Linked DNA regions of Saccharomyces cerevisiae S288C. Changing the gene in region 1 together with any one later gene gives a genetic interaction. Each region holds a gene or a part of one and is shown in the gene's direction. Other genes may lie near its edges. The genes, in order: HUB1, SYH1, CHM7 and SOL3.

What was found.
Region 2: mutations in HUB1 (region 1) and SYH1 together harm fitness more than expected from each alone (negative genetic interaction), as found in Saccharomyces cerevisiae (2 studies listed by BioGRID).
Region 3: mutations in HUB1 (region 1) and CHM7 impair growth when combined (synthetic growth defect), as found in Saccharomyces cerevisiae (one study listed by BioGRID).
Region 4: mutations in HUB1 (region 1) and SOL3 together harm fitness more than expected from each alone (negative genetic interaction), as found in Saccharomyces cerevisiae (2 studies listed by BioGRID).

Annotation. Positions count from the first base shown.
Region 1 is NC_001146.8:686,743-691,828, reverse strand, and holds HUB1 (ubiquitin-like protein HUB1), read left to right. Parts: upstream 1-4,364; coding exon 4,365-4,586; downstream 4,587-5,086. Other genes in the region: SOL1 (Sol1p), read right to left, coding at 543-1,508; ABZ1 (4-amino-4-deoxychorismate synthase), read right to left, coding at 1,831-4,194; putative serine/threonine-protein kinase PPG1, read right to left, coding at 4,713-5,086. UniProt on the Saccharomyces cerevisiae protein: Forms conjugate with SPH1 and HBT1. Involved in morphogenesis.
Region 2 is NC_001148.4:352,334-357,203, reverse strand, and holds SYH1 (Syh1p), read left to right. Parts: upstream 1-1,791; coding exon 1,792-4,341; downstream 4,342-4,870. Other genes in the region: aspartate--tRNA ligase MSD1, read right to left, coding at 1-1,504.
Region 3 is NC_001142.9:344,305-352,476, forward strand, and holds CHM7 (phosphatidic acid-binding protein CHM7), read left to right. Parts: upstream 1-1,668; coding exon 1,669-3,021; downstream 3,022-8,172. Other genes in the region: ATP-dependent RNA helicase MTR4, read left to right, coding at 1-1,439; UBX6 (Ubx6p), read right to left, coding at 3,143-4,333; YJL047C-A (uncharacterized protein), read right to left, coding at 4,740-4,874; cullin RTT101, read right to left, coding at 5,276-7,804; AIM22 (putative lipoate--protein ligase), read left to right, coding at 8,082-8,172.
Region 4 is NC_001140.6:420,068-427,555, forward strand, and holds SOL3 (6-phosphogluconolactonase SOL3), read left to right. Parts: upstream 1-3,656; coding exon 3,657-4,406; downstream 4,407-7,488. Other genes in the region: PEX18 (Pex18p), read right to left, coding at 1-5; YAP1801 (Yap1801p), read right to left, coding at 306-2,219; MPC2 (mitochondrial pyruvate carrier), read left to right, coding at 3,005-3,394; bifunctional ATP-dependent DNA helicase/ssDNA endodeoxyribonuclease DNA2, read right to left, coding at 4,543-7,488. UniProt on the Saccharomyces cerevisiae protein: Hydrolysis of 6-phosphogluconolactone to 6-phosphogluconate.

The DNA of each region.
Region 1 (5,086 bases):
CTACACGTAGAGTTAAGGTTTTTATATCCGTTGTATACCTACCACTGCTATGTATGTTGAATCATGTTTGTGTGGATAGTCTACACACAAAGCTTGATAATGCCATACGAATAAGGTGGTCTTGCAAACTGATTCTTCGTAAACTCTGTAATTAACATTTTGTTTCAATCTCTCACTTCGCTTAAGACCAAATAATCTCCTTGAAAGAAAAGAAAACTTAAAAGCATGCTTTTCTCTTAGCGGAAGCCATAGGTCCAAAAGGGAAATATCCACTGTGGTTGTTATTATTTTTTTCTAAAGGGTTATTGTATATATTATATATGTTGTATGTTATATATGCACACTACGTCACTAAGATGACTTGTTTTATATAAAGTTACTTCTCGAGAAAATTCAAAAACATAGGGTGATTTATTGCGATTACTAAAGGGAAGGGTGGGGATAGAAAGAGCTAAAAAAAGAAAATGGTTAAGGTTAAATCATAGTATTGTCATTAGTTGTCATTATCATCAGAAAGAAAAAGAACCCAAAAAATTAAACACCTACTCAGTCAAATTCTCATCATCATAAAACTTGTACTTCTTCTTAATTACAAAGACATCTTTCAAAGCATCGTCGTCTACAAACCATGAAACACGACCGGCGGCGCCCTCATTGACAATACTACTAGGCAATCCCTTTTCAGGCCTTTCCATTATTGTCTTGATTACAGGCGCCTTTGTGGCGCCCTCTACAACAAAGGTGACTCTATGAGAGTGACAAATCACTGGGATGGTCAGTGAAATCCTATTCGAAGGTCCGCTGGGTGCATTTTCTACAGGTATGACCCATGCCAGATTTTCACGTAGATTCTCTTGAAAATTGGGGAATAACGAGGCTATGTGACCGTCAGGAGCGCAGCCAAGCAGAAACAGATCAAACATCGGTAGTTTCACAGAATCTCTACCGGCAAATCCTTTAATTAGAATTTTCTCATAGTTATCTGCACACTCTTGAGGGTCGTTAATCAATGACTCATCAATGTGATAAATTTTCGGAGTTCCGTACTTCTCCGTATCTATTAAATCGAATATTTTTCTCTTAGCAAGACCGTAATTGCTTTCACTGGAGCTAAAGGGCACTAGTCTTTCATCAGCAAAGTAAATGTCCCATTTACCCCATTGAACGTCGTCTCTTTTCAACAATCCTTCGTGCAACACTTGGATTAACGAACCACCGGACAACGCAATCTTGAAGCGCCTTTCTTTCTCCTTTTTCAATTTCTTAGTGGCGCCGTCTTCACTACCACCACGGCTGGAGGCATTACTCCTTACAGAATTTACTCTCTCCATCGTTTTGGATTCTGTGTTACCATTTCCGTTAAGGCTCGTTCCGGACATCTGTGTGGACCTTGAGACTTTGCCCTTCTTAAGGGCAGAGTTTTGTGCGTGAATAACATGATCGGCAACTGCCTCAGCTACTCCTGCAAATTCATGGAATGCAAACACTTTAGGTACGGTTGTTGTCATCTTGCAAAAAATTATTCCAGTTAAAATCTATTTTCTCGGGCCTCTTTTATGTACTAAAATGTTATAATATCTATTATCTTATGGTTTGAAAGAATTCTGCTCCGTCAAGCATACATTATAACCTATTGATAAGTAAATTGGAAGGAAAGTCTTCCCTAAATGACCATGCTTTAACTTTTTTCCAATATCCTTTTCCAGGGTTTTCCACGGCACAAAACGTCATTTTCCTAAAGCGAAAAAAAAAAAAAATTCTGCATCGTACAAGAATAGTATATTATTCTAAAGAAAATGTTTGCATACATATCTAATAATATACAAATATCTACATGAAAATTTGTAAGTTGCTCTCCAACTTGTTGTACATTTCCTCTAGTTCGCCATCTAGTGTGCTTAAGACTGTTATGGCCCCCCCTGCACCGAGTTGCCAGCTGGTTCCGCCGTTGTAGGAATACATACATCTAATGTTAACAGACCAATCTCCGTTGGAATTCACAGACCAATATCCCGTGACACCGCTGTAAACACCACGTGCTCCACCATTGACATGTTTGTTTAGCTTGCTTTCTATCTTGTCCTGCAATAATTGCACAGTAATCTTCTTGGGGGCTCCCGTCATAGATCCCGGAGGAAGCGAGTGTTTAAGGACATCAATGCCTGAATATCTCGTCTTCTTACTGGCAGAGGTCAATCCATGTGCCTTTACGACGCTAACGAGTTGGTAAACGGTGGCATATTCTTGCACGGACATGAACTCCTCCACCCGAACGTCAGGAACCAACTCGTAAAGGTCATTTCTGATTAAGTCCAAAATCATTAAGTTCTCACCAAATTCTTTTGGTGTCTTCAGGATTCGTGTGGCTTTTGCCAAGTTCATTTGCGGTCCTTTTTTCACAGTTCCCTTGATGGGACGTAGCTCGCATGTGTCTGCATCCCACTTCAAAAACCTTTCTGGAGAAGTACTTAAGAAGCACAAAACTGGAGGCGTTTCATCTTGGCGGGGAATAATGTCTTTAAACTCAAAAAAACTTGAAAATGGAGCCGGGTTTCTTTGTACCAAGGTCTGGAAAATCCTCCAGGGTTCTATCACCGCAGATGGTACAACTTTGGTTTGCGTTGTGAGACACATTTCATAAGAATCACCCTTATGCATATAATCCTGACATTTCTTAAACGCCTTAGCGTAGTCAAGTTTATCGGGCATAGTTATAATGAAGTCTATCTCCTCTGGAAGATACTTGGGCCAGGACAGGGATTGCTTAATATTCTTCTTTCTAACAAAACTGTCCCTTAATGATTGTTCTAATGCCACTGGAAATGTATTATCCAGAGAAATACAATAAAGCTTCCCTTGCTTGTGATTAATGACTATACTATTGTTGATAAAAACTAGTTTGGCGTCGGGAACAAGGGAATTCTCATCATCATTGCAACGGCCGCATGCAATGTACTGACCTATTTCATAACCTAAAATGCCAACAAGACCTCCAATAAAAGGTATTTCTCTGTGGTTATCGATTATTTTATTCTCCATAAATTTACCCAAAGTGATCCAAAATTGGGATTTATCTTCATGTATTACCTCAAGGGAGCCAGGCAAATCCGAATCTTGACCATCTAGACACTTTTTCAACAAGGTGTAACTAATTTCACTATCTTGCCAATAATGAACTGTAGTCTTTTTCATAGCTCCATAATGAGTGAATACCTGGGATGCGGAGTTTGGTAAAGCAATGATAGACCATTCACCCGTATTTTCACTAATCACAGAAGATGACATGACAAATTTTTCTTCTCGTATGATGTTGCAAATTTCAAATGTCAATTTCGGGTCTTCAGAGACCTCGAACTGCTTAACGTAAGTTGTGTCCTCGCCCTTCGGATATTTCTCTTTTACCTTGTATATGGGGTCTCTATCAATAGTCCTATCCAATCGAGATAGGATATCGGAAAACTCTCCATTAAGTTTCTTCTTTTCCCACCTTCCTGTCTTCACGTTATTTATGAAACTCAACTTGAGAAAGTTACTGACTAACAGCCCCCCCAATTCTGAACAACATGACTCCGGGTGGTACTGTACGCCAAACCATGGCTTATTTTTCGTTTGAGCACTCATCAAAAGAATACCGTTCTCATCTTCGGTTGTGCATAAGGGCAAAAGGGTGTCAATGCCTTCGGCATTGACATGCAATGAATGGTACCTCGTAGATTTGAACGTATCGGGATAACCAGAAAAAAGGCCACAAGCTCTGGCTGCATCGTTTAAATGCATTTCATACACTTGCCCATGCTTGATAGTATTTAGCTCACTGACATCAGCACCTTGAGCCAAGCACATTGCTTGGAACCCAAGACATATACCCAATATTGGAACTTCATCTAACTTTCCATTGGCATTCTCGAAAAGCTCAGATATTATACCCATATCTTGTGCACCATTGTTGGGATTCCCAGGTCCTGGGCCAACAACGATAGCATCAAAAAGCGGCAAAAGTGGCAATAGCTGATCCATAGATTGGAACGTATCACTATGTACCGTCGTCACGTGCACGGCGTTGACTCCCGGTGAGATATCAGTTTGTTGTTCAATTAGTCTCACTACATTGTAGGTGAATGAATCATAAGAGTCTATGAACAGGACATGAAGCTGTTGCTGTTGTTGCTTTGTGTCAATTGTATCGGACAGCATTCCTTTATCCCCCTTGTGAAATCTCGAAAGGTCATCGTGTAAAAGTTCTACGGGAGACTTGCTTGTTTTTATATATTCGCGGTTTTGGCTGAGAGAGATGAGGAGGGAGAGGAAAAGATTGAGAAAGAGGAGCGGTGGCAAAGCTTAGATTGCAAATAAATACTCTGAAAATGATTGAGGTAGTTGTGAATGACCGATTAGGCAAAAAAGTCAGAGTGAAGTGCCTTGCTGAAGATAGTGTAGGTGATTTCAAAAAAGTATTGTCCTTGCAAATTGGCACCCAACCAAACAAAATTGTGTTGCAGAAGGGTGGAAGTGTTTTAAAAGACCATATCTCTCTGGAAGATTATGAGGTACATGATCAGACAAATTTGGAGCTGTATTACCTGTAGAAAATGCGCTGTTTTTTTTTTTTTGATCTAAATACACAATACATACATTTGCAACCGAGAGAGATAGAATATGTAGAAATAATAAGATGGCGTTGTCTCTATAATGCTTTTCTATTGTTTAGTAAGCTACAAGAAGTAATCAACATGTCTGTTAGAAGCAGATCTGGCTTGGTATACATCTGAAAATATGTACATTTCAGGGTCCGTGGAGCCATCTGCGGAGGCAGAGTCGTCTTCGAAATAATCTGCAATCAATTTCCTGTTGGCTACCGGATTAGATATGCTATCTTCTAAGGCATTGTCGTTCATACTGTTCTCTTTCAACAGTTTATTTTCAGGTGCCTCTTCGAAAACGTTGAAGTAGAATTGATCTTTACTATACAGCTCCAGAATAGATGCTTTATTGCCGCACCGATAACAATAGTTTGGCGCCGACCATACAGTAGTAACCAATCCATCAAAATATATCTGGTAACCTTCGTTACATAACTGATGGGCTC
Region 2 (4,870 bases), on another chromosome or scaffold:
TTTTACCAGACTTATCTTCAATTATAACGGGAGAAAATAACGGGAAATCCACAATCCATGAGGCAACATCCTTATTGACAGCATGATAGATATTTTTCCCATGCTCACTTTGTAGCACCAACTGTCTCAATCTTCCCAGGGGAGTAGGATTCTCGAAAATGGAATGGTTTGGCTCTCTCGTACAACCGCATACAATGTCACCTTTTTTCAGTTTCAGAAATTTGGTTATTAGATGTGGGTTTTCAAACGTGGCAATTGCATGAAAATTCTCAAACCAATTTGAATTAGCTTGTTCGTCATTTTCAATTGGTAGCACTATTGGAACTCTATAATTGTAATTACTGTTATTTGTCAGAAACGACCATCGTTCTTTGTACTCTTCCATATTTGAAAAGGCACTTCTTAGAATAATTACTTCAAAAACGGGAAATTTTTTGTTCAAATGACTAAAGGCATTGAACTCGCCTAAATTGATAATCTTCAAATCTGGCGCTCTCAAATCTGGCTTGTCAATACCATATGAGGTCATGGCTTGTTCGTAGGTCATACGAAAGATAGATACTGTGCCGTTTTCCTTTTTCGCAGGCACTAATGTACCCTTACTGTCTAAAGTCAATAATCCTCGTTTTTTGGAAAATTTACTCCATACCCCAGAAACTGTCTTTTCTATGATTTTCATGACATCTTCAGAATTAGCAAAGGCCATTTCCATATCAACCTGTGTAAACTCAGGCTGCCTGTCTGCTCTTAAATCTTCATCTCTAAAGCACCTTGCCATTTGATAATATTTGTTGACACCACTAGCCATTAAGAGTTGCTTGTATTGTTGAGGGCTCTGATCTAGAGCATAAAACGATGGTTTACCATCGGATCTCTTTGTCCTTGTTGGAACCAGAAACTCTCTTGCGCCTTCTGGGGTAGCTTTAAATAACATTGGGGTCTCGACCTCCGTAAAATCAAAATTGTTGAAGGAGTTTCTTATTTCCTTAGAGATAGATGACCTCTTCTTTAAAAAATCTTGATATTTGGGATTTCTCAATTGCAAATAGCGGAACTCAGGTGGGTATATGGCTGACAATTTAAAATCCTGCATTTGCGCTGGTTTTTTATTAGATGCATTTAACACAGTAATATCCTCCAATTGCACTTCGTACTCATCTGCGTCCTCATTTGATAGCTTCCTCTTCAAAGAGAGTATACCTACGGCTTGAACCACATCCTCTAAAGTAAAGCCTTTCAACAACGATTTGTTATCAACCAACTGGATAATGTCACCGTTAGAGTCCCTTAAAAGTCCGAAGATCAAATTTTTCCCAACTCTTTTTGGCTTCTGCTCTATCCATCCATTGAGTACTATTTTCTGGCCGCTAGACAGTCCTTTTAACTGTTTGATGGTCGAGGTGTCCTTCCTAAAGAGAAATTTTTTCTTAATAGCATTGGCTTCTGGAAAGTCTGCCAACCGTCTAGTGATTGTCTGCAAGCACACCCTGGAACGGGCCAACATGATTAAAACTTGTAATGTTTAGTCTTTTCAAAAAAGCATGCACTCAACTGAATCAAAATGTTAAGAAAACATGAATAATGAATAAATGAGGCATTCAATGCCATCTATTACTTCCTACTCCCATTTTCACCTTATTATTGTACTTTGGTACGGCAGTAGCTTTCTGAAATTTCATCTACCAAACTTTGCAAGCACGAAAAAGAAAGCAAAACATTTCATTTACCATGGACGCATGGAGAAGGTCGATTTTGCCACAGCTTGCACAAGATTGGCAGTGGCAGTAAGTGATGAATCCTATCAACTCTCTAGCGTTTGACCTTCACAGTGTTAAACTTGCAGACGCGAACTCAGACACTGCTGCATTATCAAATAGCAATACTCCAACCATGAACAATGCGGCTCTTTTGCAAAGGCCCTCCTCCATTATGGATTCTATTGGCGTCCAAAGAGTTCCATCTCCTTTTGTGCCAGGGAGTAATGCGATTAGTGGAGCCAGTACTGTTCCCTTCAATGCATATGACGCTGAAATTACTGGATCTCCGCTACAAATATCTGCTAATCAGGAAAACAATAGTGCATTTAGTGCAGCATCATCCAACCTGCATATGAACGCCAGCAGCCCTTCCGTTCTCAATAAACCCTCGAGCACATTTCCAAATGTAGCTCCTTATCTCTACAACGCAACAGGGCCTGCCCCCAACGTTGGTAATCAACCCCCACCACCGGGGATAGAATCTCAGTGGAAATACATTGACTCTAATGGTAACATTCAGGGGCCTTTTGGTACCAATAATATGTCACAGTGGTATCAAGGAGGTTATTTTACTCCAACTTTGCAAATCTGTAGATTAGCAACATCTCCTGAGCCATTTGGTGTAAATGATCGGTTTATTAGACTAGGTGAATTGACTACTCTGGTGAATAATTATCAAGACCCTTTTGTCGCCTTTGATTTCATTGTTATTAGAGCTTTGAATGCTGTTCCACTTGTTGCACCAACTTCATCAGAAAAGCAAAAAGTTGAGTCAAGAGATTTGATACCTGTTGCTGATGTGCATAGTGATGATTTTACGTATGAAGAAATCCTTGGCCTTAAATTTGAAGATGGAAGTTACTATCATGAAACTCAGGTTTGGGTTCCGGTTGACGGCCGTCATATCACAAAGGTAGATCGCATACCAAAGATATCTGCATATACCGCTCCTCTATCCACGACTTCTAGTAGATCTAATAAAACCACTTCTTCCCATGAAGAGAAGGTTCCTTCCCACGAGGAAGCTTCTCCAGAGGAGCAAGAGGTTTTTTCAGAAGAGGGCAGAACTGTTTCTAACATAACAAATGAAGAGGAATCTATTGTCAAAAATCCTACTAAGCAGGAGGAAGAATCTCGAGGAAGCGAGAAAGAGCAAAATATATTGGATCAAGTTCAACCAGAGATTGAAGAGGTAGACCGTAAGGATGTAATATCCACTGCTGATGAGCCGAAAAGCAAAGATACGCCGCAAATGACTTCTGAAGAGCAGAAAAGGTTTGCAAAGGCAGAACTGATGGCACAAAAATTATTGGAAGAACAACAAAGACAAGAAGAAGAAAAAAAGAGAAGAGAAGAACAGCGCAAATTAAAGAAGGAGAAAAAATTGAAGCAAAAGCAGAAAAAGGAAGAAGAGAAGTTAAAAAAGAAGAAGAAGGAAGAAGGAAAATTAGAGAAAGAAAAGCAAAAAGAATTGCTAAATAACATTTTAACTGGAGATACAGAAACTCCATCTTCCGAAAACACCGCAACTTCCATAACCACTAATTTGGCGCCTTGGGCTAACAAGAAACCCGAGGGTGCTGTTTATAATCAGATTTCATCTGCTCTTGAAGATTTGAAGAAGGAGAACTCGTCCAAGAAAGAAAAAAAACCTAATCGTACTCAGTTAGATCGTGAGCAGGCATTAAAACTACAGAAAGAAATATTAAGCTCGGCGCAAATTCCGAAAACTCAAACTGGTTCTGCCTGGGGTATAAAGCCACAGCAACCGATCAAAGTTGATATTAAAGGAGAATTGATGAAAGACAGTACCAAAATTAACAGTCAGTCTAAAATTAACAAGGCCAACAATGGTGATATTAAACCAGATTCCACTTTTATTGAAGAGCAGAAAAAGCTGTGGGAACAAGTTCAAAAGAAAACAAAGAAATTCAACCGCGCTTCTTCACTCGATGATTTCATTTCAAGAACGCCTTCCCCATCTTCTTCGGCATTGAACTCTTCGAATACTAGCAATGCGTGGACCACGGTTTCTTCTAAGAGCACAACCCACATCGCTTCCACCATGCCTGTCGCTGGTAACCAGTCAAAGTCATATATCAGTTTGGACACACTGCGTTCTTCTGGGGGGTTATCTACCGCAACAAAAACTAAAATGAGCGATAAGAGTAAACAAATTGGCTCATCCACTAGTATCCCGACTTTAAAGGCCCGTCAAGTTAAACCGTCTCGCATCCCTGCCTATCCCGGTAACGCTTCTGTCTCTAAGCGTCAAGAATTTTTGAGATGGTGCCGATCCCAATTAAAACTAAATACGGGTGTTCAGCCCGATAATGTTTTAGAAATGCTACTTAGCTTGCCCCCAGGTTCAGAATCCAAGGAAATTATCGCAGATACCATATATTCCTACAGTTCAACAATGGACGGTAGGAGATTTGCCACTGATTTCATCAAAAAACGTCTAGAATGCGAAGAAGAAATTAATGACCCCTTGAGCTGGAGTGAAGTATTAGCTATGCCTGAAGGCAGTTCCGAAGACTGGGAATTTCAAGTTGTTGGTAAAAAGAAAGGAAAAAGATTTTGAAGCCTTTTTGTTCCATAGTAGTTGTTTACTACGCGTGTATATCTTCTATTCAATGTATTAACTAGTATAACTCCCATCTATTTGTATAATTAATTGAAATTAAATATCTTGATAACTAATAACAGTACTAAGAACGCTACAATAATATGTTAGCGTGTGCAAACTACCTATAGCTAGTATATCGATTAAATGTTTGAAGCCACATGAATTGAGAAAGGTAAGCACATTTTTCAAATTGCAGAACGTATCATTTAGCGAATCTATCGTCTGTTTGAAGGTTCTTAATGGAGATGAGAAGTGTTTAAGTTGGTTGAGCGCATAATCATTTGTTACGTGTATTTCTTTTCTTTTTTTCTTTTTTTTTTTCGAAGGCAATGAAAAAAGAAATTTAACGAAGATGATTCTAGAAGATTCCTTTTCCAAAGAGCACTACTTGTCAATATAACCTTAGTGATAAAAGTTACTGTCCATTTTAAACTCCCTCTGTCTTGATTTTTCTTCTTATAACTCAGTTAGTTCTGATTCTTAT
Region 3 (8,172 bases), on another chromosome or scaffold:
GAGTTGAAGGTATCTCTCCGGAGTTTATGTTGGAGCATTCTTTCTTCCAATTTCAAAACGTTATTTCAGTACCAGTTATGGAAAAGAAACTTGCTGAACTGAAAAAAGACTTTGATGGCATCGAAGTCGAAGATGAAGAAAATGTTAAAGAATACCATGAGATTGAGCAGGCTATCAAAGGTTACCGTGAAGATGTTCGTCAAGTTGTCACCCATCCGGCAAACGCCTTAAGTTTCCTACAACCAGGCAGATTAGTTGAAATCTCTGTCAATGGTAAGGATAACTATGGCTGGGGTGCTGTTGTCGATTTTGCTAAAAGAATTAACAAACGCAACCCAAGTGCTGTCTATACAGACCATGAATCCTATATTGTCAATGTGGTCGTCAATACCATGTATATAGACTCTCCAGTCAACTTGTTGAAACCTTTCAACCCTACCTTACCAGAAGGGATTCGCCCAGCGGAAGAAGGTGAAAAAAGCATATGTGCTGTTATTCCCATAACTTTGGATTCAATCAAGTCGATTGGTAATTTGAGACTATATATGCCCAAAGATATTAGAGCCAGCGGTCAAAAAGAAACTGTTGGGAAGTCTTTAAGGGAGGTTAATCGGAGGTTCCCGGATGGTATTCCCGTGCTGGATCCTGTTAAAAACATGAAGATCGAAGATGAGGACTTTTTAAAGCTAATGAAGAAGATTGACGTTTTAAACACAAAGTTATCCTCCAATCCCTTAACCAATTCCATGAGACTAGAAGAACTATATGGTAAATATAGTAGAAAACACGATTTACATGAAGATATGAAACAATTGAAACGCAAAATTTCAGAATCACAAGCCGTAATCCAACTGGACGATCTTCGTCGCCGTAAAAGAGTTTTGCGCCGTTTAGGATTTTGTACTCCTAATGACATTATTGAACTGAAAGGTAGAGTTGCATGTGAAATATCTAGTGGTGATGAACTGTTACTAACAGAATTGATCTTCAATGGTAATTTCAATGAGTTGAAACCGGAACAAGCAGCAGCATTATTATCATGCTTTGCATTCCAAGAACGCTGTAAAGAAGCGCCTAGATTGAAACCAGAGCTTGCCGAACCTTTGAAGGCTATGAGAGAAATTGCAGCAAAGATCGCTAAGATAATGAAGGATTCTAAAATTGAAGTTGTAGAAAAGGACTACGTTGAAAGCTTCAGACATGAACTAATGGAAGTTGTTTACGAATGGTGTAGAGGAGCTACTTTTACGCAAATCTGTAAAATGACCGACGTTTACGAAGGTTCGTTGATCAGAATGTTCAAGAGATTAGAGGAATTGGTGAAGGAGCTGGTAGACGTCGCCAATACCATTGGTAACTCTTCACTTAAGGAGAAGATGGAAGCTGTCTTGAAATTAATTCATAGAGATATCGTATCTGCTGGTTCTTTGTATTTATAGTTAATCACACACAATTATGTATTTTTATTGGTATATATAATAAACAAATAGATTTCATCAACATTTATTATATAATAACATTTTTGTTTGGGCAAGCACACTATTGATACACCCATACAACTCAATGAAGTGCAGCGTTAGTAGAGACAATAAGAGGAGTTTTAAATTCTTAAACTATATCTGGCAAAACACCACCAAAGCCAGCCAAATAGTATCTCACTGTATCTGAATGAAAGTAGATTTACCAGAATCCAGACTACCATCTTTATATAGAGATTTTAGGCCATTGAAAGATTTAAATCCCGATGGGTACGAAGCAAACATCAGTACATGGAGGGATTTCTTCTTGCAACAATACATCAGCAACTCCAACAGAATCATATTTACTATAGGGACAAGGACTTTGCAAGAATTAACTCATGAAGTTTATGGCGTACCGAAAAGCATTGATATAGCAATTGACGTTCTTGTTAATGAAGGAAATTTGATACCTATGGAATTATTCAATCTTGGTGGAATGTACACTGACAACAGTAGAAAAGGATTTTGGAAGTGGGTTAGAAGTTGGAAGGAGTCTACAAACATGTATAAAAGCCGGAAGGATGAAACAAATTTCTACTTGAGAGAAGACAAATTTATTATCAAAGCAAATTTGGAAAAAGAGTATCAAAGGTTTCATGAATTACTCAAAAGAAGTGTTTTTATGGAGGCTTCATCTATTACAGATTTAGTATTCACAAGGAATGAATTTGTGACCACAGAAAGTTTGCAGTCGTTCTTTTCAACCTATGATGAAGAAACGAAAAACGTGTTCCTGCACTTTATAGAGAATTATAAGCACATAATAGTTTCAAAAGACAATGTTATCAAAGTCATTGCCGCTGAAGTAGAAGACATTACTAGCAGGTTCTCCAAAGGCATCACAGAAAATGACCTTCGAATTGCTAGTGTTAAAGTGGGTATTATAAACATCAACAAACAAATTACAAGGCTAAGAAAAGAAATTAATGAATCTAACATTAAACTGAGAGGACCAGAGTTTAATGAGCTGCCGAAGAGAATAAGGATTGAATATAAACAGGCGAGATTACTATCTGAAAAACATCTTTCTAGGTTACTAAAGTTTCAAAATAACCTCGCTCAAGTAAGAACTCAAATAGACACCAGTGCTACTAATGCGGTTTTAATTCAAACTTTAAGTGAATCCAACGAAGTAATTAAGTCAATTAATGGATATATTGGTTCTACCGAAAAAGTAGAAGACTTACTAGATGAGATTAAAGAGGGTCATGACCGTACCGAAGAGGTCAATGATTTATTAGCTCATTATAATAAAGGTCAAGACGAAGAAGCAGAAGAAGAAATTGAAAGAGAATTAGAACAATTAGAACTTGATGAAAAGAATAATAATAAGGAAGAAAATAAGAACCAGGATTTGCACGAGCCAAAAGAAAGCAGTAGCGAGGATCTATTAAAGAGATTGAATAATCTGAAGATAAATACAAATGAAGGACCTGTGCAAGATAATGAAAACCACGATAATGAGATAAGAAAAATCATGATGGAAGAACAACCACGTTGACGAACTGAGTGACTAATAAATAAATATATATGTATAAATAAAAAATAAATATGAATATTTTAATAGACGGAAGAAAGAAAATATGTGTGAATAACCAAATAGGAAATAAACAAAAGCACATTTAATTGTTGCCGTTATTATTAGAGTAACCTAATGTACGAACTTTGGTATTAGATGCAGAATTATTGGAAGACAAGTTTAGTTCAGACACGTTTTGTCGCAATTGAGAAGTACCATTAGAAGGATACATCCTTGGGGTAGTATATGCTGAAGGAGTCATTGAATCACCACCACCTCCTCCTCCCCCGTCCGACACCATGTCTAAGCTAGATAATTTTTGTAAAGAGTAGTTGGCGCTGTTTGACACATTTGTGCCCAACCTCTGGTAACCAAGACGGGAGGAGGAAGCATCTACTTCCGGTTCTTTCGCCCAAAAAGATGTCAAACCTGAGTAAACCTTGTGTAGAAGAGAAGATTGTTCCATGTAGTCGAATGTTTTGTTATTGGCTTCCAGCGGTTCTAAGATGAGAGTCGATCTGGGCAACAGATCCAACTCTTGCAAACTTTTGAGTTCGTCATTTCGCGTAAGAGTCACTCTTGGTATATTTCTGTGGAAAAGGTAAGGTGTTCCATCATCGTAGCAATTATAGTCTAACCACATCCTTACTTTGTGTAATTTTGTTTGAGGAGGGAAAGTATTAGAGATTGTGTAACCATTGGGCAGTTTCAATTGTAGAGTACAGTAGTTCTGGGCGAGAAACCCCTTTTGACTCTTGTAACTAACATTATCAGTAACTGTCAACTGCTTCCACTTCTGTGGCTTTCTTTGCGGGTCATTAGTATTTTGAAAAACATACTTCCTCTCCAACTTGTCGTTCTGAATCATTCTTTTGACTCTTTGATATTCTTCATTGCTCTTGGAAAATAACTTCCTCTTTGTTACTTGACCCTTAAAGACTGATTGTAACCCATTGATAAAGGTTTCCCAAGGATCCTGCTCACGAGAAAGGCTATTACCTTGGATAGAACATTCGAGTAGACCGTTCTGTAATATGTTAATGCTTGGCGCCGATGAGGAGGGGAAAATGCTCTTGAAAAGCAAGCACTCTTTAGTACCATTTACTAACCTTACCCACAGTATGTTTTCGCGCTCCTCGTCACTAAGATTTCCTGGTTTGAACCACTGATGAAGCCAAGAATTGTCCCCGGCTGCTGAACTAATGTAAACGACGATAACCTGCTCACTAGTATGAGAGTAATCATGAACAACTCGATCATGAAAGAGGCTGTCTATACCTGACATCTCGTACATTTCTGTTATTCAATACCTGTAATTCACTTCCTTTGAGGGTCAAAAATGTCCCCTGTAAGCAAGTGTATAAGTATATAATTATATATATGTGCATATATATGTCCCTATACAACTACTAACGAATCTTAAAAGTTGACTATTCATGTGGAAAAAGTCCCTCTTCTAGGGTTGACGCGCTAGAGGTAAATCCATTAAGGTTCCTCCTGGCTTCGTTAACTCCGAAAAGAATAGCATGTGCAAGATGAGTTACCGAAAGAAGCAATAAAGAAAGCACGAGTACATGTAGAACAGGGGCACAGATAATACCAGACAGATGAGCCCACTTTTAAGAGTTTCAAAACTTCCACGAATGCACAGGGAGAATAAAGTACGCGCTGGGTCCGTTACGATTCGTGCTGCAAGAGGTTTAAAATCGCTCCACAATGGTCTCGCCCCTCGGCCCTTCTCCAATTACAAGCATATTACTAATACAGTTTTCGTTTCTTTTGTAATGTTCAGATAGGAGCGAAAGACTAATTTCGATGGAAATTTTTATCTTCATTTCGATAGTATGTTCAATCAGTTGAACTATGCATCTTTGGTTATCATCATTAACAAATTGAAACGAAAAGCTATCCTGCCAAGAAGGCCGGATAGAGAGATTGAAAAAGATATATAAAGTGTCCTTGTCACACTCATACAACACCTGTTGTATGTCAGGCATACGGCAAATTGACTACAGTTTGCATTTGCACTAATGTCGTTTGCAGTGTAACTGTTGTATTGAACGTGGACAAGGACAAGAAAGATAGTTTTTATCTCTTGATGTTTTTTTATATGGAGGAGAAAGCGACGAAGTCGAAAAAAACGAAAGGAAATAAAATGCTGTCGGAAAAAAAGTTAGGGCTGGTACGGATTATAAACTATCTCAGTAGTTAGGTAATATATAAGATGGCACCAGTCTTAGTACTTGTAAGTTGCTGTTGATTCGTCCCTAGTTATGAATTTGTCTCGTAACAACTTGGCCAAGGCGTCTTTGAACTCACCAACACTAAAGCCTTTTATCTGCTGCTTTACCGTTTCAAATAAATGGTCGTAGTCTAGCCCATTCCTCTCGCTCTTAACGGATCTAGTTATGCATGCCTTTAGTAATTCTTGGGTCCATTGGGAATTACTTCCTTCGTGGTGTGCAGAACTGGTTCTTTCACCGCCTGTGTTGCTACTTTGGAGAGACGCGGTTCTCGGTAGAACCACACGTAGTTTCCCATTTTTCACTTTTTTCATATCAGGTTTGAAGCTCTCGTTGATACTGTATGTGTTGTCAATATCTCTTGTCAGAATTTTATAATTGCAGAAGGATTTTAAGACTAGCGCTAAGTCTTTGTACGCCAGTTTCGTTTGCTCTGATATAACTTGCAAGGTCAAATGATCGCTTTCGTTGAATAAAGTCAGCACACATGTTTGGAAAAGGGTCAATTCAAATATTAGGTTAGTTCCATCCTGTATGATATAAGGCGACTCCACTTCGCAGTGGTGCAAGTTCCACATCGGATATAGCTCTTTTTTGGAAGCATCTGAATCTTCCACTTTATTCTGCTCGTGATAATTACGGAGAAATTGGTTCCACGTATCATCCATCTCTTGAGGTAGGACAAAATTTTTCTTTACTTCGTTGGATTGCTGAAAAACTTTGGGAATTCTTTCTCTATCAAAGATAAGTGGGAAAAATGACTTGCTGTTGTTTTCATTGTATGTCTTCCCGAACTTCACAGCAGCCTCGATATTCTCATAAAACGACAAGAACGATGCATATTTGATTCTCAGATCTGCCATAACCTCTACCGGCTGAAAGAATTGCGATAAATAGGGTTGATATTGATCTCGGTATCGCATTTCATCCTCTTGTGAGACATTTGTTATGATTCTTTGTTTGAAAAGTTCCATGAGGCTGTCTTTGTAAACAGGTAATATATCCTTAATAAATGAGGAATTTTGATCACTTTGTAAGATCGTCTTTCTGAAAATTGATCTTTCGAAAAAATTAGGAAATGTGGGAAGGTTAACGAACTTCAGTCTCAATATAGGAAGATTTTCGTTGAGATACTTTATTTTCATATCTCTGGGTAGGTCTTTTTTAGTTGTTTTTATCTTTCTGACGATGATGAATAAATGTGACTCAAAATATTTGACATACTGTTCTATGGCTTTGCTGGTACTTCCAAGTAAATTACATAAATGGTACTCGATGGAATCGGAGTATATTTTGAGGTGATCTACATTAGCTAGCTGAACTACCTCATCAAATAGCCTTTCAGTATCATGATTGGATCCATATGCTGCCTTTAACTTTTCTGAAACGGCATCATCACAGAATTCCTTGAATTTTGACAGCATATTTTTTGCTTCAAAAGCATTTCTAAACATCAATAAGCTAAAGTGTGTCTCAGTTTTGAAATATCTCTCTTTTTCTTCATCATAAGTGTCCTTCCCAATTTCTATGTATTCGCTAATAGACTTCTTGTTCAACAGTAGATGGCTTATAAATAGGTCATTTGCATCGCTGACCCATTCAGGGGAAAATAAAGATGCTAATAATGCATTCCTCGTCAATAGTACCTTAAAATTCTTGAAAGTTTCCAGCCTCGGCCTTAAATTTGATTCCTCACAGTAATATTGTCTGAGAGTTTTCATATAAAAATCTTTGGGGCTCAAGCCCTCTATACTAAAATTGCAGTTAGACATTATACGGAGCATAGGAACTTCCTTCTCTAACATTGTATTCGTTATTGGAAACATATGAATATAGTGATGAATAGTAGCGCTTACAAGGGTGGAAAATTCCCTTCCAAAATGTGACTTCATACATTCGAAAAGTTTGGAATCATAATACTGAAATATCGTTAAGGTCTCAAATCCTAGTTCTTTTCTTATCATGGGATAATTTACCGGCACATACGATATAATAGGACCAACGGCACCCATTACGTACTGAAATAGCTTGTAAAAAGAGGTCCAATTTTTGGGTATAATTTCATAAGAATAGTCGCATCTGGTCAAAAAGCTAAGGACGTGCGCGTCAATTATTAACTTTGCCAATTCATCACAAAATTCTTGAAAACTCAGCACAATTTGGTGTTGATGTAGCAGCTGAAACTTCTTTTGCTTTTCGTCATTCCCATTAAATTCTGAGTTGTAAGGAATGTATGATTTCCTTTGCGTTAATTCACGGCAATTGTTCAACATCTTAGGCATTAGCTTTCTAAATTTAGCGGCCTTTTCTTTATTACACTCCAATTCTTTCACGTCAGTTTCAGTTATAGTTTCAGCTAAAGTAAGGTGAAAAAACTCGTGCAGCTCAGCAATCATCGTTCGATACCTGGGATTTCGCTCATCGTTAAATTTATTGTATAGTCCTAAAGCGTTGCTTGCACTCGTCTCTCTGCTTATAGACTCGTGGAATCCTTCTCTCTTGGAAACGCTCTCATTTATCATTGTTCCTGTGAACCCGTACGAGAATTTATACCAGTAAAAAAGATTGGTGGGTTTAATATCTTGAGGATTCCTTCAAAGTAGTCTTTTAGTGCAAAGATATCGATGATCTTCATTCGCATTGTTCATATTCATCATTACGCAAAGGATAGCTATGCGTTCCGCTTCGTCATACTTAATCAGGAATATTGAACATCCAAAAATCTCCGAGCTCACGTATGTAGAATTTTTGATGAATACAAAAGAAGAAAACACTAGACTTTTCTTTGATGTTTACATTATGTCTATGATGCTAAGTAATTGGGCACTCTCCCCTCGATATGTGGGACAGCGAAACCTCATACATTGCACCACTTTATTTCACACACTTA
Region 4 (7,488 bases), on another chromosome or scaffold:
TTCATTGTTTGTATTTTATATCATTTGTCCATTGAAGTTTAGACAAGTATCAAATACCCAGTTTTCGTCTTTTCCCTTATATAGGTCGTCTCGGAAATAACAATATAAACTCCATGGTGCGGCGCTATCGAAATCTTTTGTTGGCGGGAGGAATTGAAGACAGTAAGATGTAAGTATTACATACTATAGGACAAATGCAAAATATGTACAAAATGGCAAAAATTACATAGCTCTTCCTTACAACTATATATAGCTATCCAAAGATGCACTTGAGTACTCCCTTACATACCTGATTATACTAGATATTACATATCAATTAAATTGAGGTTGTTAGCATATTGGTTTCCTAAAACTGGTTGCTGTGTTTGAGACTGTTCCGGTTGTGGTTGCTGTTGTGGATAGAAAGGGAAATTTTGAGGTTGAACTGTCCCAGTTATATTTGTAACAGGGTTGGCTCCTGCAGTTGCAGGCACATAATAACCCTGTTGTGGTTGCTGTTGTTGCTGTTGCTGTTGTTGCTGTTGCTGTTGTTGCTGTTGTTGGAGATGATTCTGAGTGTAGTGAGCCTGAAATTCCATTTTATCAAAACGCTGAGGAATATTCATCGATCCCTGCATGCTAGTAGGGGTTGTCATAACGCTATTGATCGAGCTCAAAGGCATTTTTTGTTGTTGAAATTGTTGTTGATTGTACGTTTGGTTTTGAAAAGGGTTACTTATTATCTGTTGTTGTAGCGGCATATTGGTATTTTGTTCATCAAAGTTTGGTCGTGAAAATGGGTTATTTAAGACATTTTCGTGTGCAGGATTCCCTGTTGCGATCGTCGCGGCGTTGTGCAATGCGAACGGGTTGTTAGAACCAGTTTGTGAATGAGAGACTTGTTGATTAGAAGCGGCAGTTGTATCCTGTGAAACGGAGTATCCTCCAAACCCTGCACCTGTAAATGTGGGTGTTAAATGGTTGTTAATCGAATAGTACCCCGTTTGTTGGGCACTTACGCCAGCATCTTGTACAGGGTTGAAGTTCACTGTGTGTTGGACCGCTGCATATTCAGGAACGTTTAAATTTGCGGGCTCTGTATGAGCGGTTGGTGTATTCATCACCTGTGGCTGAGTTTGAGATACAAATGGGTTATTTGCGATCTGTTGCGTTTGATTAGCCACAGCCATTGGAATGTTAGTATGCATAGAAGAGTCTGTTCCAAACGGGTTGTAAGATTGAGCCGCCGTGACAGTAGTTAGAGCAGGGGAAATCGCTACTTGTTCGTTTTTCAATTGTGCCTCTAGTATCCTTTTTTGTTCCCGGATTTGCTCCAACCTTTCCTGTGCAGTAGATTTGGCTACTACGGCCCCAGCACTTCCTTGAGAACTGTCAACGGGCACAAAAGTGTTGTGCGTCTTATCATCCTCTATCAGATGTTCTTCTAGCGATCTGACCAGTTTGGTAGTGATATGCTTGATGACGGGTATTTTCAAGCCCGCAGTCTTCCCGCTCTTCAAGTACCTGACAACGTGCTCGGTCAAATCAACAAACGTCTTGTACAGGTCTAGAGTTCTCTCTGCATTATGATGAGATAGTTCGAAAAAAGACTCCAGCAGAGTTATGATACCTTCGTTGAGAGCATTATATAGCGCTAGCAGGTCTTGAATAAGCAGCTTGAAACCAAATATGATCAATTCGTTACTCAAATCATATTGTGTATACTTGTTTTTAATCAGGGCTTGTATTTGTACCTCTAGGGACTCCACATGATCTAGTGCTATATTGATAGAGTGTTGCTTGTTTCTGGAGCTTCCGTAATTGCCACTGTTCAGCTTCAGTGTTCGATAGCCGTCTCTCACATAGTCCTTTTTGATTTTACCAAACTCCCTGCATCTCACCTTCAGATAATTATCGTATCTATCAAGTGCCCTCATGTCTCCAGACGCACTGCCATTGGAGCCACGTATGTTTTCAATGTCAAAAAACTCCAGGTTCCTAGAGTAGTACCGCAATGCAACATCTTTGGAACCCTCCCTTATCATCAAATGAACCACCAACAGCGATTTATACACAATAGTCCACGCCGTGTCATTAATTCGGGAATCCAAACCCTTCACGATCTCATAGAAATCCTCTTCATTGCTGGTCCCCAACAGTATCGGATCCAGATACTTCTGTTTGGGCGGGGCTGACTTGATCTTGGTAGCACCTTTTACCAACTTGAAATATGTTGTCATCTCGCCTCAATCGAAATTTATACTCTAGTATCTGCGATATCGAACAGTCCCTTTATATTTACGAGACAGGTTTTGTCCTTCCTCCCCCACCAAAAAGACGCTATAAAATACTAAATATATCTAATATCGCTACTGCTCAATTCACCTAACGAATGATTACCACCAAGCATCAACACCATGTGCATACCATACCGCTAACTAAACTCACCAACGCTGGAAGCCTGAATACCAAGTATCGAACTGAGGCCCCTGTGTTACCAATCCGTAAAAAGTGATGGAACCCGCCGCTCGCTTCCAAGAGTTATCATCATATTCTTCATCATATTCTTCCATACTTAAGGTGGGTAGCGAGGACCCCTCAATTCCCCCACCTCTCTGCCAGGGCGTCATCTTTTTCTACAAAAGCCAGGCTGAGTCACGTCAGTTGCTGACCCTGGGGGCTGCATTGTTTCCTACGAATTACTCATTTGTTTCGTGCGCTTTCCTATTGCGCGCATGACTAGGATGGAAAAAAAAAGAAGAAAAAGAAAAGCGTTGAGTATATAATAAGAAAGAAGAAAAAGTCCGAGAGAAAAGAAGCACAAAGGTTTTTCCTCGAGGAAAACAGTAAAGTTTGATACGCACATCGTTGACATCGCTGACTGCAATAGGAAACTGAAATAGACGGCAAACCATTAGTTCATTCGAAAGAACGTATTGTCGAGAATTATCACTCACTATATCAGAAAATTGACACACGAATTATATAAACGAAGTTATACAGAAAAAGATTAAAGAAAAGAAAAATGTCTACATCATCCGTACGTTTTGCATTTAGGCGGTTCTGGCAAAGTGAGACAGGCCCCAAGACGGTGCATTTCTGGGCTCCTACTTTGAAATGGGGTCTGGTTTTCGCTGGATTCAGCGATATGAAGAGACCGGTGGAAAAAATTTCTGGTGCTCAAAATTTGTCGCTGCTATCTACTGCGCTGATTTGGACTCGTTGGTCCTTTGTCATCAAGCCAAGAAACATCTTGTTGGCTTCTGTCAACTCGTTTCTTTGTCTGACCGCTGGCTATCAATTGGGTAGAATTGCCAACTACAGGATACGGAATGGCGACTCTATATCGCAATTGTGTAGCTATATTCTCAGCGGCGCCGACGAAAGCAAAAAGGAAATTACTACGGGCAGATAAACGCCGAATTTACAACTCGAAACTTTGCTTTGTCAAAGATATGTACGTAAGCATATATATCCGGATTGTATAATATTCATAAAATAGTAAAGTATATTTTCTTTGCGCGGTGTTATAATTTGCTCTTTTGCATTTTTCCGTTTTTTTCTTACCTTTTTATCCCCGACAATGGTAATAGTGGTATATTATATAAAGAGGAAAGGCCTCGAGGATAATAGAAGGCAATGCACCATCAATTGCTTTACCCCTGGTCCGCGACCAAATGGTGACAGTCGGTGTGTTTTCTGAGAGGGCTAGTTTGACCCATCAATTGGGGGAATTCATCGTCAAGAAACAAGATGAGGCGCTGCAAAAGAAGTCAGACTTTAAAGTTTCCGTTAGCGGTGGCTCTTTGATCGATGCTCTGTATGAAAGTTTAGTAGCGGACGAATCACTATCTTCTCGAGTGCAATGGTCTAAATGGCAAATCTACTTCTCTGATGAAAGAATTGTGCCACTGACGGACGCTGACAGCAATTATGGTGCCTTCAAGAGAGCTGTTCTAGATAAATTACCCTCGACTAGTCAGCCAAACGTTTATCCCATGGACGAGTCCTTGATTGGCAGCGATGCTGAATCTAACAACAAAATTGCTGCAGAGTACGAGCGTATCGTACCTCAAGTGCTTGATTTGGTACTGTTGGGCTGTGGTCCTGATGGACACACTTGTTCCTTATTCCCTGGAGAAACACATAGGTACTTGCTGAACGAAACAACCAAAAGAGTTGCTTGGTGCCACGATTCTCCCAAGCCTCCAAGTGACAGAATCACCTTCACTCTGCCTGTGTTGAAAGACGCCAAAGCCCTGTGTTTTGTGGCTGAGGGCAGTTCCAAACAAAATATAATGCATGAGATCTTTGACTTGAAAAACGATCAATTGCCAACCGCATTGGTTAACAAATTATTTGGTGAAAAAACATCCTGGTTCGTTAATGAGGAAGCTTTTGGAAAAGTTCAAACGAAAACTTTTTAGAAAAGACACACATGCGAGCTTTCGAACCTCAGATGCTAATATTACGTGTTATATATACCAAACTTTATAAAATGACATAGATATTTTATGCTGTGATAGCTTTCCTGTTATGGAGAAGCTCTTCTTATTCCCCCTGTCAACTTTCATACTCTTGTAGAATTTCCTTTATGATAGGTTTATCGCTTACGAATTTAGACTTTGATGTGATGGGTTTGGCACCTGTTCTTTTTCCACAACCTTTGCGTGCCTCATCAATAGCGTTTGATCTGTCGGGAAATTTGTATTTGTAGAGTGCATCCTTGCACATTGTATAGACCCAATTACGCTCTTCTAACAGGTTCACGAACGATTTTATTTCAGGAACAGAGCCGATTGTACTTTTTGAACCTATAATGATCAGCTTGGATTTGGCCCTTGTCATGGCAACATTGACTCTTCTTAGCTCTTTCAGCAGCGCTCCTCCATTTAATTGAGAATTTCTTCTAACCATGGAAATAATAATGCACTTTTTGTCACGACCTTGAAACTGATCAGCAGTCAAGATCTCTAGCCCGTCATACACATTTTTGTTGAATATCTTCTTCAGTAATCTTAACTGTGCTCTGTATAACGTCATTACACCAATATCTTCGCATGGTACGCCGCTCAATAACATTCCTTCCACACATTGTAGAGTCAATTCTGCCTCCCCGTGATTCGTAATGTTATCCTTTTCGCTTTGTTCGATAATATCCGGGCAGTTATCGTAATTTAAAAATACCACTTTTCTTGTAGGCTCTAGTATATCCTCAAGCCACTGCTTAGAGTTAGCCGATTCATTCCTATAGCGCGACAAGGCCTCAGGCATTGGTAACTCTAAAGATTGAGCAAAAACTTCGTTATTCCCGCATTTTAATTTATTATCATAAATTAGGAAATTAGACAAAGTTACAATATCGCCGCACATACGGTACTGTAAAGTCAGTTCTGCAACGCTTTCCGGATGCTTTTCACAGAAAGTCTTGAACAGTGACTCTTCTAACCCACCTAATCGAGCTGCGTCATTTTTAACTAATGGCGGTAGCTGGTAATGATCTCCTACCATAATAAACCTATTTCCATACCGCAGAGGTCCCAAAGCGACAGGCATTGAAATTTGACTTGCCTCGTCCAAAATCACATAATCAAAATCCTTTTCATTTAGTGTAAATAGTATATCGTTAATTCCTAAGCAGGTGGTAGCAACAACAGAGGTGCTGTTAATTTTGGACAAATAATCGTTATAACTTTTCACTGACGCGTAATTCGGGACATATTTTTGCGTGTCAGGATGGACCTTATGTTTCATTCCCAATCTCATTATGCTAATGTTGGTGTTCCTCAATTTTATTAAAATATTATCCACTGCTGAATGTGTGTATGATGTCAAAAGCACGCGTTTCCCCTCGGAAACGAGAATTTTAATAATTTCTGCGATAACAGTAGTCTTACCAGTCCCTGGCATTCCCAATATCAATGCATAATCTTCGGCCCTCATTACTTTGTCTATTGCTTCTTTTTGATTCAAGTTCAATGTTGTATCCTTTGAAAGCTTATACGGAATGACGGGATCATCATTTGCATCTCTAAACTTAGGTGCTCTATTATCAACTAAAAGTGATCGCAGTATTTCATTACCTCCATCAGATCTCTTTGTCTTCCGACATAATTTACTCCTTTCGTCAACAATATCCACGCCAGGTGAAACAGCTGGTAAAAACAAGCTTAAAAGATTAAATCGCGCTAAAGACAAACTCTGTTGGATATCATTTTTGTCGATTCTATATGTGACCAAATTTTGGGTAGCTATGAGACTGGATTGTTCTAGCTCTGATTCGACCACACTTTGGATGGTAGTGACTCCTTTTTCCTTATCTAGAAGCCTATTGTTTAATAACTTTCGTTTTACGGAGATACCAATTTTAGCGGGATTTATAAATTGTACACGACCTTGGCACAAGCAAAAATGACCCTCCTCATCACTAATAATAACAAAGTCATTAGCAGCAATTTGAGATGATAACATCGACTGCGAGTTATTATCATTTCTACGTCTTGAGAAGCAATATATATACGCTCCCTCTGTTTTTTCATGTTCAACCACCTCTGACACAACCAAGCCAGAAAGGCACCTTCCACTTCTGGATTCTCTTGTGGAACCATCCAATAAGAAAAGTTCTTTATTTACACATGTTATACTTGACTCCTCCTTAGTTATTAGATCATTATATTTTGTAAAAAACTCTTTGTAGTTGGCGAGATTTTGCGACAAATGGTTTGTCAAAATTTCAAACTCACCTTCTACCAGGCCACTTTCTTCTGGTGTCCCGTCCTCTAGTAGCTTATTCAACACCATGCATGATTCTTTGATGAAACATGAATCACAAGATGAATCGCGCAGTAAGGGTGGTAATTCAAACCTTGATTGAGCCTGTCCGAAAACCTCTTGGAGTTGATGCTTAAAATTCATACTCATTCTATTTCGGGACATGAGAATATGTTTAATGGAGTGCAGAACAGAAGGGAACTTTGTCATATTTTTATCCCTCGTAAAATAAAGAAGAAAAAACTCTATCGGTATCTCATAGCGATCATTTAACAGAAGTGTATAAATAAGGCCTTGAACCTCGTATGAAACGCTTCTGGATTTTCCAGTTTTCACTTCTAAAGGAACGATGTGTTTTTTATTGTTTTCAACATTAGCTTCAACAGTTGCATCTAGGAACCCTTTAAGACCATATATTGGAGACCAAATGTTTTCTTCAATATCAATCACATTGGATATAGAAATTGGCTGTGTTCTTCTTGTTCCGGAAATTGATGTGTAGCAACCATAGTTACTTTTCGAAACAAATTTATTGACGAAGTACAAAATGTTTTCAGCATGTTCTTTCATAACTAATTCTTTAACGTACTGGATTTCTTCATTACAAATGATAATTGAAAAAGAATAAGTTTCTAACAAAGAATCCAGCTTTTGTATTATGATTTCCATAGAAATTTTATTATGCGAGAGCTTGTATTTGATTGAGTCTTGCAATAACTCGTGTACGATATTGCCTAA